Medicago truncatula: one gene and its partner. The protein of the gene in region 1 interacts with the protein of each later gene in a pairwise test. Links are inferred from orthologs where the notes say so. Each region holds a gene or a part of one and is shown in the gene's direction. Other genes may lie near its edges. The genes, in order: cell division topological specificity factor homolog, chloroplastic; putative septum site-determining protein minD homolog, chloroplastic.

Region 1 (7,559 bases):
GAGGGAGGAAGAGGTGGAGGCAACACCTTCCTGACGTCTTATATTTTCTTTTAATAATATAAGAATGGGAATAGGAAATGAAATTATGAAGGAATCTCAAAGTTAAGCGCTGCATCAAGACTCAATATTTATTATTTAATGAATTTAAAGAAATTTCTGCAGTAGTACATATATGCGCCCTAATCTCTTGCAACTAATGTGGGATAATAGCAGCACACAGATTATCGTGCTCAACCTCTTGTTGCTTTTCTCATTGTAAATTAATGGACGGGGAGAGAGAAGGATAATGGGTCTAAAAAAATTTAGTATTAAGGGTATATGATAATACTATGATCTTCAAAAATGGTTGCCATCTATTTTACAAAAAAAAAATAAAAAAAAATAAAAAATCATGTCTCCTACGGTAGGAGATCTAAAGAGGTCTCCTACCATAGCCTTTGTCTTATTCTCATATGTCATTGTTCTACCGTGAAATAGCGTTGCTTGTGTAGTATTTTTGTTTAATTGAAATCATAGATTTGAAAGTTATTTATGTAAATCTGTCTTGGGAATCATTGAATTGTTGATTTGTAAAGATATTGCACAACACAACTTATTGTTTCGAGTAATTATTGATTAATAGTATATGTAGTTCTTCTTTGCCTAAAATCGTTGAAACAGAGACTATGTGCACGCATAACATTGCAAATCAAAATAAGCGGTAATAAGTGGAAGATTTAATTGAACCCTCTACCCAACTTTATTGTTACTATTTTCTTCCCCTAAATTTTTTATTATTTTCTTATTTTTCAATGCAGATAACATTGTAAATGCGCTTTGACGCATAACTCGCGTTTCGACGTCTAACTTGTATAGAGCATGGACCCGTGATTAGCACGAGTTTGTTGCTACTAGACATAAAATATTTAACTTTTTTTTAAAAGATAGAAATTTTAAAAAAAAATTAAGTTAAATGAAAAATATATCTTAACCTTCAATATTATTTATGTGTCCTTGTTCATTTTTTGTGTGTCAATTAGTAATTTTTTTTGACAAAGGAGTGGATGCAAATAGGAGAGATTGAAATATGTAATACAATCACGTGGACTTATTTGTCTTGAAAATTGCTTTTCTGACATAAAAAATATTAATAACACATGGAAAATTCGAAAATACATTAGCGGTAGTTAACTACGGTTGTGTTTGTTCCGGGAATGCAACAACTTACATTCAACCTTTTTTTTTCTATCATTCAACCTCTTCTTTCAACATTTTTTTAATTAAACCCCCTATTAATACTCTCCCAACCTTCACCATTTCCTCATACCATCATCTCACATTCTCTCCTCCTCACTCTCCTTCCTCCTCTTCCTTCTACAACAACTAGAGCTGTCAAAACGGGCGACCCGGCCCTAATGGGCTTCGGGCTTTATCGGACCGGGCCAAAAAGCCCGGTTGAAAAAACGGGCTTGAAATATACTACCCAAGTCCGGCCCTACACGGGCAGGCCCGTATTAATTTTATTTTATTTATTTTTTTTATAAAAAAATTACTATAAAATACTCATATAATTTTTTTTTATAAATAATATTTTTAATATGTTTAAATAATTCCTAGAACAAAAATAAATTGTAAACATTTTTGTACAAACGTCGTAAACTAAAACGGCGAGGAAAACAATTTTAAATAAATTAGATACGTTATGGTTATAGATATTTATATTTTCGATCTTTAAAATTATAAATAACGAAACAGGTAAATATAATTTTATATTACATGTATATTTGTGTTAATTCATTGAATTTTCACTTTTATTTATTACTTTGATAATCAACTAAGTAAAGAATTATTTGCAAAATATATAACATTTATAGGTTTTTATTTGTTATGCGGGCTAGCGGGCTACCCTCGGCCCGTTCGGGCTAGCCCTAACGGGTAGCGGGCTTTTTAGGGCCGGGCTAAAAAACCATATTAAAATTCGGGCTCAATATTTAAGACCCAAGCCCTATAATTAATCGGGCTAAACGGGCCGGCCCACACGGCCCGGCCCGTTTTGACAGCTCTAACAACAACAATGTTGTTTTTTTCATCCTTGGCCTTTCATTGAAAGAGGCATCTTTGAAAATTTGAAAATTTCAAGAGGTTTCTTTGAATTGGTTTTACCCCAGGATTTAGGGTTTATGGTTTGTGATTTTTTTTTTTGTTTTAACCCAAGTGGAGGTTAAACAATAAGAGTGCAGAGGTGAGGCACAATTCGAGAATTGATGTTGTCATGTAGCAGTGCCATGAGGAACAATTGATGGGTCTTCTTGATGTTGTCTTGTATGAGTATCTTGGAGAAGAGTATCCGGAAGTTCTAGGTTCAATTTGAGGTGTTCTCTAAGATTCTTTTTATATCGTTTTCTGGTGGTTTTTTTTAACTCAGATTTAGTTTTACCCCATCATGAATGTATCATAATATTAATAAAATGAGATTTTATACCTATTACTTTTGTTCCTTTATTTTTGCATTTATTTTATGATTGTATATGGAATAAATAAATCCGAATAAAAATTGTGTATTAAAAAATAAATAAATTCAAAAAAAGACTAATTAAACACAACGTGAATTCGAATAAAAATTGCGTATTAAATAAATTCGAATAAAGTTGCATATTAAATAAATTCGAATAAAAGTTACATTACATTACATTACATAAAGTTCCTAAATATGTCCTATCATTACATTACATCCGGGTAGAGATATGTGGTGCAACAACTGTCTTACCTCTGAAATTGGACAAATTCAAACCTGCTAAACAACAGCTCTCAAGCATTCACCTGGAAGTTTTATTGTCTCATTCAAAAGATTAAATTCTTGTTAGTTTGTTGAAGATGTTGGTATTGAAGTGTCAAAAGATTAAGAGAACACAACATGTATCACGCAGAATCAGCTACATATGTTATCACATCGATTTCCCTCATATAAGACGAGTAATCACATAGAGAATGAGGTGCATTCTGTGACACTCATCTTATATGAAGGAATTCAATATCATAACTTATATAGCTGATTCTGCATAATACATGGTCTCTTAATATTTTGACACTCCAATACCAACATCTTCAACAAACTAACAAGAACTTAATCTTTTGAAAGGCACAATAAAACTTTCGGGTGAATGCTTGAGAGCTGTTGTTTAACAGGTTGACCTTATCCAATTTCACAAGTAAGACAATTGTTGTAGTTGGAAGGTGCATTCCCTACCTAATCACGATCTTCTGGCGGAATCAAACTGTTGAGAATATCTTCAGTTGATCTCTGCAACGTGACAAACATATCGATCATCGGAACCATGTTGTGCTGCCAAAAAATCGAGAACATACTCCTCACGTCGTCGCCGTTCTTTAACTCTAGCAGAATGAACGTTATTCTCCCGTCGTCCAACGTTAAACGTTCATACCAAATGTATTTCACCCTTCTCGTGTCTCCGGGGTTGAGTCTTTGGTTGATTTCATCTAGTTGATCCTTGAGACCTTTTAACGTGACATTAATGTACCGAACCTTGAACATCTAAGGATTTCCACCGTTGAAGCGTATGCAAACACTGAAAAAATCGGCCATTGTTTCAAACATACCTATACAATAAAAAAATTAAACAATCAATGAAAAATTCATTCAAACATTTCATCAAACATTTGGAGTGCAAATTATACACAAACCCTAAAAAACCCAATTTTTTTTATAAAACTTGAAAAAAAAAATATAAATTTAAGCAATATAACTCGATTATAACAAATATTCATAATATTTGTTAATAGCATTTCAGATCTATAACATAACGCTATTAAAAAAATAAATCAAAATTTAAAAATTAAACTACAACTAAAATTATAAACATATATACCAACTAAAATTTATGATAATAGCCTAAATGATTACTTAATTGTGATTTAGTGGCAAAAATTTGGATGATTTGGTAGAGTTTTTTTAAAGAGAGAGAGTGAAAATTGAAATTTTTAGAGAGAGAGAGTATTGAAAGGGTGGCTGGAAGCTGGGTCCTGACTTGAATATGTAACGAACGCAGCGGTAGTTAACTGTTGCTAGATATACCAATGGTAATTAACTATGCTGGGGGCAATTTTGTGTTTACCATGTGTTATTAGGAACTAATAGATGTTAGGAAGGACGTAGTGCACATGTGAGAGACTTAGGTGAGTCATCCATTCTAGAATTCACGGTATTCTATAATGGGATAATAGTCCCTAATGTTAAAATGTTTCATTAATATTGTTATATTAATTCTTCAATACACTTACTTATTATCATATCGGTCTTTATAAGTACTCACTCATTGTCATTTTTAGTATTTATATGAAAAGAGTTATTTTGAATATTGATATATTATTTTAGCGTCAAGACTATTTCAACTAAAAGTGTGTTGCGTGCACAATTAAGAATTATTTTAAATTTTGAAACATTGATGAACTATTGCAATTACTTGTTGAGGGGACATAAATGACTATTAAGTATTATCCCATTATTTAATCTTTACTTTTTATTTTTATTTTTTTTGAGAGGACAGTGCCCAACTCTTTTGGAAAACGGTAAAACGACGACGTACTGAAGTGGTGATTGAGGGGCAAATAGGGTACACTACTTGCAACAACAGTGAACAGAAGCACTGAAAATCCGTTGGGAAATCCGAAGCTATCAACAATGGCGATTTCCGGCGACATTAGAGTCACTGCAACTCTTCCACTCCATCGCTCACACCCTCTTCTTCCAACCACTTCTTTTATTCCTCCAAAGGTATCGTTCCTTTTCTTTTTCTCTAATTAGGGTTTCAATTTTAATTTTTAATTCGAGCTTATATTTTTACTTTCAAATTGATGGCGCTGTTTTAGATTTTACTGTGTAGTGTTAATTATTAAGAATGTGTAATAGAAAAAATGAAAATTAATGTTTGTGTTGTTTTAATAGTGGTGTTGAAGAAGAAAATTCGACTCTTTTACTTTAATTTCTAGTTCAGAAATGTTGGAATTTATGTATGTATTTAGTTTGGTTTGGCAATTAGCATGATATTCTATGAAGCAACAACTTAGACACCAGACACCAGAATGTCAACACCGATAATAATTTGAGAAAATGACATAATTTAAGTTAATTATAATTATATGCGTCGGTGTCAGATTCAATATATTCAATATGTATCTGACACCGGGACATCCTAATCCAAGGAGTATTTGTGCTTCATTATGTTTTAAATTGTGATTACATTAATTGAAATTTTGGATAAATGTTGCTCATTAAACCATATTTTAAGCTTATATTTATGGCGAGTTTGGAGAAATTATCGTGGGACTGTGATTTTTGTTGAAACTTCAAAGTGTAGTTTTTGTTAAAATTTTGGTAGCGGATTGTTATTCTGTTAAACTCACTATCAATTCAAACATGTACTGAAACCGTGGTGCTTTTTGTTATAGATGTATTTTCGGATGACAGAAGTCCTTGAAAATTATATCACATGTTTGAGTAATAAAATGAAGGGGAATGAGGTCTCATAGTTTTAATGAGCTGTTATGTTATTGTCTACAGTTTATAAGGATTGTTGATTTACCACAATTCATTACTCACTATGTCCAATAATAATTGGCCTATTTGCAAAAGAAATTTGTCCCAGAATAAGTTAGTTTCAAAGGTTGTCCTAAAATAATTGACGCTTTCAATTTTGAAGGTCACATTAATTAAATATACCACTCCCAATTCAATACCTTCTACTTTGCATCAACGGCGATGATAAATACACCTATACATGATAAGGATAATACAATATAAGTACTATTCTTTGTCTTTAATTTATACATTTTGTTGATTTGTGCGAAATAGTCAAACATGTCATATTTTATGGGGGGAGAGTGATTTGCAACTCTATTTCGTGTCCCTCTAGACCAAAGTATCAGTGGAGTGCATAATTGTTTTTCCACTATATTCCATTTGATTGGAAATATGTGTTATCTATTGTTATAAAGTTTTTGCCTTAGAGAAATTGGAGAAAATATATGTGTAGCATTTTTCCATTTTGTGCTGACCAGTTGCTAAAAGAGGATGTGATACAGCTGTTTTCCTTTTTGATATTCAGTATAGTGGAAAAGGTTGTATAAAATGATCTTTTATCATATTTATCGTTGAGATATTTAATTTAGATGCTTGTGGCTGGACTTCTTAAATGTTACATTTTTTATAGATGCGAAAGTTTACTTAAAATCCTTACAAGATTTACAAAATGTTGAAAATGCCTTGTTAATCTCTTAATTTTTCTGTCTAACAGGTCGATTTTCATTGTTTCTTAAATGGAGGGTCCTGCATATCTGGATTCACCCCAAAACGTTCCACCATGACAACTGTACGAAGCAATATGCGTGGCTATCACAAGCCTGTTTTTGCAGTCCTTGGAGGTTCTAATTTTTCATCAAAGTCAGGTAGCCAAGAAGCCGAGAACTTTCTCCTTGATGCTGTTAATATGAGTTTCTTTGAGCGTTTAAATTTGGCTTGGAAGATAGTTTTCCCATCAGCAGTGTCTAAGAAAAGCTCTGTTGCTAGGATTGCCAAGCAACGTTTGAAGATGATTTTGTTCTCTGATCGATGTGAAGTAAGTGATGAGGCAAAGCAAAAAATAGTTAGCAACATTGTGCGTGCTCTATCAGATTTTGTGGAAATAGAATCACAAGATAAAGTTCAGTTGAGTGTCTCTGCAGATACAGATATTGGAACCATTTACTCTGTTACAGTGCCCGTACGGCGGGTTAAACCAGAATATCAAGTGGTGGATGAAACTGGGACAATAACAAATATTGAGTATAAGGACACCGGAGATATTTCAGGTTCTGTTGATGTTAGATTTGATTTCTATGTTCAGGATGAAACGTCTTGATTTTGAAATAAAAGGTCTTGAATGTTGACTTCTTTGCCAGAAGGCAGTGTTTGAAACCCTTACCGATGAAGCCAATTTGGAGTGCTGTATATATATTTGCAAATTGAAGCTTCCGTTAGGGTGGGTGACTCGATTTTAATGAGAAATTTTGTAACACCTTTTATCTGTTAGTCTGGTTTGATGCACTGTTTTTAACTTTATGATAGGATTTTGTTGCTTGTTGTATGAATCATTATTATAAATGGAGTTTGTAGTTCATTCTCACTGGCCATTGTAAGGGAGCTGATAGTTTAAGCCTGAGCATATTAGTTAGAATAAAATCATGGATTCTCCCTAGCTAGCCAAAGCCATTGATGCTCCACTCAAACCAAGAAGAATCTATGTGCTTAATCTTGTTTGGGTTAAGCAAACAGCTGCAAAGACCTTGACATTCCTTAAGTAACATTACCATACCTTGTATCTTACAGCGGTTTCCTGAGAGGTCAGTTAGTTGCAAGTTTGCTCTTCGACCTTGCTGAACTCTTCGAATCTGGCACCAACTTTCGAGAGGAGCAAAAAACTAAACAAGCCCAGGAGCCATGTGATCTATATTTGCCCTATGAAGAAAAATGGAAGAGCTGAGAAGAAAAACTCATATGTTGTATCTATATCAATTCGTTCAGAATG
Region 2 (6,059 bases), on another chromosome or scaffold:
CTGAAGTTTTAGCAGCAATCCAGCATGTGAATTATTGCTTCTGTACGTTTCTTTTTAGCTTTCCCTGTGTATTCTTACAACTTTCATTTCATCACAGGTTGGGTTAATAGGTTTGCTAATGCTGGTGATACTGCCATGGAAGTTGCTGGGAATACGGCATTACGGGTAAGTTATAAATTTCAAAATGCTTTTATGCGGTGTTAAATATTTCCTTGAATTGTGTCATTGGAGCCTGGATTTTCTTGTGTTTTTGGCTTTAAATACTTCAAATTCTGTGGCTATTGATTATTTGCTATGGAGCTTAGATACTCCAAAATTGCTAAAGAATCGGTTTCATCTGATACCAACATGCCTTCCATACTCCTCAAGGTGTATCCAAAGGGTGCCCTCTAAATATTTTCATATTTCAAAAGAAAATCATTGACTGATTTATTTTTGGGAGACACGCCTTTTCGATACTTATGATATTTATATTCAACTTCAAAACTTGTCCGAAATCTTCTTGCACAACGTTATTCTTTGTCATGCTGTGAACAAAAAATTAAGAGTATATTCTTTGTCAAGACTTGCTTTAAAAAGGACTAATGAACTATGTAAAGTATGTATATTTTTTTATAAGCTTTTGAAGTACCTAGGTCATATATCCTCCTATCTATGTATATTTTGCATGTTCTTGTATCCGTATTATTTTGTATCTGTTGTATCAAGTGTATGGGCTTCATAGGTTATTATACCAGTACTGGCATTGTGATATATTTTGAGAAAACCTATGCACTAACTAATAATATGACCTGGTTATTGCAGTTCCGACAAGCGAAAACAGAGATTGTATCAGCAAGCAAAGTAGCATACAGGTTCCTCCTAGGCGTTACAAACAACGTTACTAACAATGTTACAAACAATATCAAAACAGGTCCCGATTCCCCCAACAATTCAAACAGGGGGGAGTCATCCCCAAGATTTCAAGCTTCTTGGTTGAAAAACATGATTACCAATGGTGCAAAACCATCTACTAGTTCAGATGCTGAGAATCACAATGGAGCTGTTCCTTTACAACCAACAAGAGAAGATGACAAGGCTCTGCTACATAGTTCATCTTCGCGTCATGATAGTTGATGGAAAGGAATCTGTGTCAAAAATGTTTAGCGTTACTTTCTGATGTGTATTCTATTATGTTGTAAGTCACAAAAAGGAAACAGAATTTTTTTCATGGTATTCATAGTGTATCAAATGTATAATTTTCATTTGTTGTTCAACTTCAAATCTTAATATTGGTGCCTCCTGAAACTATGTTCAATGAATATCAAAGGTAATTGTGTTGTTTTATCTTTCCTATATGAATATCTGAATTGATCAAACTTTACAATAGTCAAATTCATCATATGATTTTTTTTTTCCTTTCATGTATTCAGCTGCAGTGTACAATGATGGTAGTAACAATTTGGAGTGGATCATTGAAATTTTCATGAAGGTTTTTTTTGTTTTGTTTCTCTTCATGTACATTTGTAAATTTAGATTTAGATTGGTATACTTGTTTATAGTGTTTGGTTTGATATGAGTGCTAACTTCAAATCATGGTCAATGCAAAATCAACAAGTTAATACAATTATGTAACAGTTTGCTAAGTTTTAAACTTCCTTGTAATGGTTAAGATAAATCATTCTCAGAGTGAAAGATTATGTTTAGAGTTTTTTCGTGTATCATTCATTTCATTACTAGATGAAGTTAGAATTCACGGAAAAGGAAATGATGTTTTCAAACAATACTTCAGCAATAACTTATCTTTTCAAATTGAGTACACGTAACTGGTGTAAAGATACTATACGTTCACGGTTCACCAGCCATTTGATAAATTCAAGTTCAACTTTTGTTTTTTCTTGAGTATTAGAATGCATGTTTGGTATCACGGTATGTTTGATAGATAAAATCATGGTGACCTACAAATTTGAAAATTCGAACTTTCACTTATTTTATTAGCAACATGACTAGCAATAGAATAGATTGTGCGCAAGTCGGAAGAAAATTTCAACACTTTGTTCCCAACTCGAAATTTGACGAAAGAACTAGTAATTTTTTCATTGATAATCATATTATAAGGTATGAAGTGGGTGGTAGTTAATCTCAATCGAGAAATTTGTTGGACATACTAGTTGAGTTCTTTCTTTTCAACCTATATTTTTCACTGACAAGAGTTAAAGATAAAACCATTCATCCATGTTTTAGGTGTTTGAATTCCTTACCACTCAGACCAACCACTTTGAGATATAATTGAATTTTTCCTCATTTAAATTAAATCAATTCTTCTTTTTTTTTTTGGTCAAGTTTACTCCTTTTTTATTTTGTACTTTCTCACTCAATTTTGTGATGAGCTGACTTTTTTTAATGATACGACATCCTTGTCATCATATCATATATATTATAATTAAATTAAAACATTTAAAAATATAGAAGTCTTGATCTTACTCTCTATAAATATAGGAGTCTTGTTCTATACGTACAACTCAATTACTCAATTCGGGGATGCACAAACATTTACCGTGTTAGAAAGCGAGTTCAAACCTATAATTTCTCACTCTCACACTTAATGCGTGCAATTCTTGCTATTAGAAACTTACTATTAGAAAATTTGACAAAAAAAAAATAGTCTTCTTCCTTACCAACAGAGTTATATGTTCACATTGACATCTCATAATGAGTTTTAGTATCACTTGTATTTATCTCATTTTTCATCTTAATTAATAAAAGTTCTTCTTGGCAGTTTAAAAAAAGGGATAGGAGTATAAAATAGTTTTCTTGATTGTTTTCTAAATAAAAAGATTATAATTTTTTTCTCTCTCGGGATAATAAATTAATTGTTTTCCAAAATATTATTTTCTATGAAAAAGCATAAAAGTAAGTGAATATATTTTTCATGAAAAACTAAAAGAGCTAATTACAGCTTTGATCCTCTTATTTTCACTCATTCAAATAATTGGTCCCCAATTTTAAAATTAATATGTTTCGGTTCCTCTTTCAATTTTTTTAACTAAAAATTGATGATATATCATATTTAAATTGAAGTTTGTAGATATTTTTATAATAATTTTATAATTGTTGATCATTTCGTATCAAGTCCTATGATACATCTTTTAAAATACGTTACATCACAATTTTTTAGTCTAAAAATATAAAAAAGGATCAAACCTGTGTAATTTTATAACATAAAGACAAATATATTTAAGTAGATTCAAATGAAATAATCAAAAGTATGGTACATATTGACCATGACAAATTCTAACCAATCATAAACAGCGATCTAAACTTGACAAAAATAAGCACAATGACGAAAAAAATGAGTTGCATCCTCTATCGTTATTATTGAAAAGAGAAAAAAAACGACTAAAGAGAACTAAAATTGTAATTAAACAAAATTTAAAACAAGAAAGAGTATATTATAGGTCAAATGCATCTAAAGATTCTTTAAGTTTTTCGTTTTTTCTAAAGTGGTCCTTTAAATTTCAAAAGTTCCAAACAAGTCCTTTTAGTTTTTGAATCGTTTCAAACAAGTCCTATTGTAGATAACATAGTTGGTAATTGCTTCCTTGAACTCATCTTTGGTACTAAATCTGGCTCCTAACATCCACTTAAAATTAGTCATCTTTTTAGGCATGACAAACGGTGAATAATGTTCTTTGTTGCTATCATCTGAATCATCACCATCATCTTCTAAAATGACTTGTTTGAAACGATTCAAAAACTAAAAATACTTGTTTGAGACTTTTGAAACTTAAATGATCACTTTGAAAAAAACGAAAAACTTAAAAGACCTTTAAATGCATTTGACCTATATTATATTATTTTTTTGACAAAGAGTATATTATATTATTAAAACATAAATAAAAATAAAAATAAAAATAAAAAACAAAAAACAATAAAGCAAAGTCGATATCGTAATCAATCAACACAAGTTTGTCTTCTCCTCACTCACTCACTCCCTTCCATCCCACTCTCTCAAAAACCCATTCACAAATGCTATCCCTCTACAACCACCCCACCACCACCACCACCACCACCACCACCAATCTCAAATCCCATTTCCCTTCAATAACCCATCTCCGTCATTCACCCACATTCCCCAAACCCAAACCCAAAACCCTAACAAAATCCCTTCTTCAATGGAACCGCAAACCCCAACTCTCCGGCGAAACCCCCCGTGTCGTAGTAGTCACATCCGGAAAAGGCGGAGTTGGTAAAACAACCACCACCGCTAACATCGGCCTTTCTTTAGCCCGTTTAGGCTTCTCCGTCGTCGCCATTGACGCCGACGTCGGATTACGTAACCTTGACCTTTTATTAGGTCTTGAGAATCGAGTCAATTACACCGTCGTTGAGATTCTCAACGGGGAATGTCGACTCGATCAAGCTTTGGTTAGAGATAAACGTTGGTCTAATTTTGAATTGCTTTGTATTTCTAAACCTAGATCTAAATTGCCTATTGGATTTGGTGGAAAAGCTTTGACTTGGTTGGTTGAAGCTTTAAAAGCCCGGGGAGATAAAACCGGTGGAAATGGAACTGGAACCAATGGTTCTGGTTCCGGTTCCAGTTCCACTGGTTCTGGCTGTCCGGACTTTATCCTGATCGATTGCCCTGCAGGGATTGATGCGGGGTTTATAACGGCGATTACACCGGCTAATGAAGCGGTTTTGATAACAACGCCGGATATAACTGCGTTGAGGGATGCGGATAGAGTGACGGGATTGTTGGAGTGTGATGGGATTAGGGATATTAAGATGATAGTGAATAGGGTTAGGACGGATATGATTAAAGGTGAAGATATGATGTCGGTTTTGGATGTGCAAGAGATGTTGGGTTTGCCGTTGCTTGGTGTTATACCAGAGGATAGTGAGGTTATAAGGAGTACAAATAGAGGGTATCCGCTTGTTTTGAATAAGCCTCCTACTTTGGCTGGTTTGGCTTTTGAACAAGCTGCTTGGAGACTTGTGGAGCAGGATAGTATGCAAGCTGTTATGGTTGAGGAAGAACCGAAAAGAGGGTTTTTCTCGTTTTTTGGTGGTTAATGATCAATTGGGTTGTTTTTTGTTCTTTTATTAGGTGCAAGCAAGTTTGTAATGAATGATTTTCTAGTGTCTGAGGAATATTTTTTGAAGTGAAGTTTGTTTTGAATTGTGTATAGTTGGAATTAGTAAAGCTTGTTTTCCTTTAATATGTTAATTCATGATTTATTGCTATTAATTGTTAGTATTTTGATTTTGGTAATGTAAGGATTAGTTGTATCTGTAAACACTTCAGGTGAAGATTTGTTGCCATTAGTAATACAATGTTGTAGATGGTTTATCATGATATATTATATTGTGGTTGCAATTGTGTTCCAGTCAGCAATCATGGTTTCATGTGGAGGCAGGGTACGTAGTTGCAGAAAGTGATGCAGTCCATTGTAATCACTATGTTATGATACATGCTGAGTCCTATCATGATTTGAAGCAAAACTTAAAACAGATAAGGTACTAGTTGCAGCATAAATATTGATTTCTTTTGCCTTAAATTGTTCATAAGGTTTGATTCATGATTAGAAATTAGGTGTTATAGTTCATGCTTTGAATGTCGATTAAATAACCATGATGCATTTTGCAAGTTAAAACCCTTATTAAATCAATGATCAAATTTAAGTGTGGTAACGGGTGCTCAAATACACGTTCAACAAGATATTACACATTGGAACTGTAGGGTCAATGTGCATTTGTGTATGTTTACTGCTAAAATGTTGTCAATCGTGCTGGGTTTATGAATAATATCATCTGTTGCCATTGTAATATTATGTTCAAGATGGTTCAACCTAGGATTTTAAATTTCGGCTGCAATTGTGGTCTAGCTGTTAGATGCTGTCCACAATTATAACTTAAACCACAGTTAAATCAGTGATGAAGTTTTGCTTTAAGTGCTGCCATTTCGATGGTTCGTTACAGTGATAAAATACTCAGTTTTCTGGTAGTGGATAATGTTTTGTTATGTTTAGGGTTGTTCAAATGCACATTTGCAAGTGTTTTTTGAGGTGTGGTAT

Evidence for each region.
Region 2: the proteins of cell division topological specificity factor homolog, chloroplastic (region 1) and putative septum site-determining protein minD homolog, chloroplastic interact in binary tests that used the Arabidopsis thaliana proteins (3 or more experiments, as listed by UniProt). The link is inferred for Medicago truncatula from reciprocal best matches to the Arabidopsis thaliana genes MINE1 and MIND.

The regions. Positions count from the first base shown.
Region 1 is NC_053046.1:18,841,281-18,848,839, reverse strand, and holds cell division topological specificity factor homolog, chloroplastic, read left to right. Parts: upstream 1-4,545; 5' UTR 4,546-4,678; coding exon 4,679-4,771; intron 4,772-6,290; coding exon 6,291-6,893; 3' UTR 6,894-7,157; downstream 7,158-7,559. UniProt on the Arabidopsis thaliana protein: Acts as a topological specificity factor during plastid division and specify plastid constriction sites (such as the Z-ring) in a MCD1-dependent manner. Especially involved in epidermal plastids division in a FTSZ1-dependent manner.
Region 2 is NC_053047.1:18,020,594-18,026,652, forward strand, and holds putative septum site-determining protein minD homolog, chloroplastic, read left to right. Parts: upstream 1-3,941; 5' UTR 3,942-4,008; coding exon 4,009-5,058; 3' UTR 5,059-5,338; downstream 5,339-6,059. Other genes in the region: uncharacterized protein, read left to right, coding at 98-165, 805-1,116. UniProt on the Arabidopsis thaliana protein: Together with ARC3 and MCD1, regulates FtsZ ring positioning in chloroplasts in an ARC6-dependent manner. Calcium-dependent ATPase required for the correct placement of the plastid division site. Inhibits FtsZ filament and ring formation in the plastid.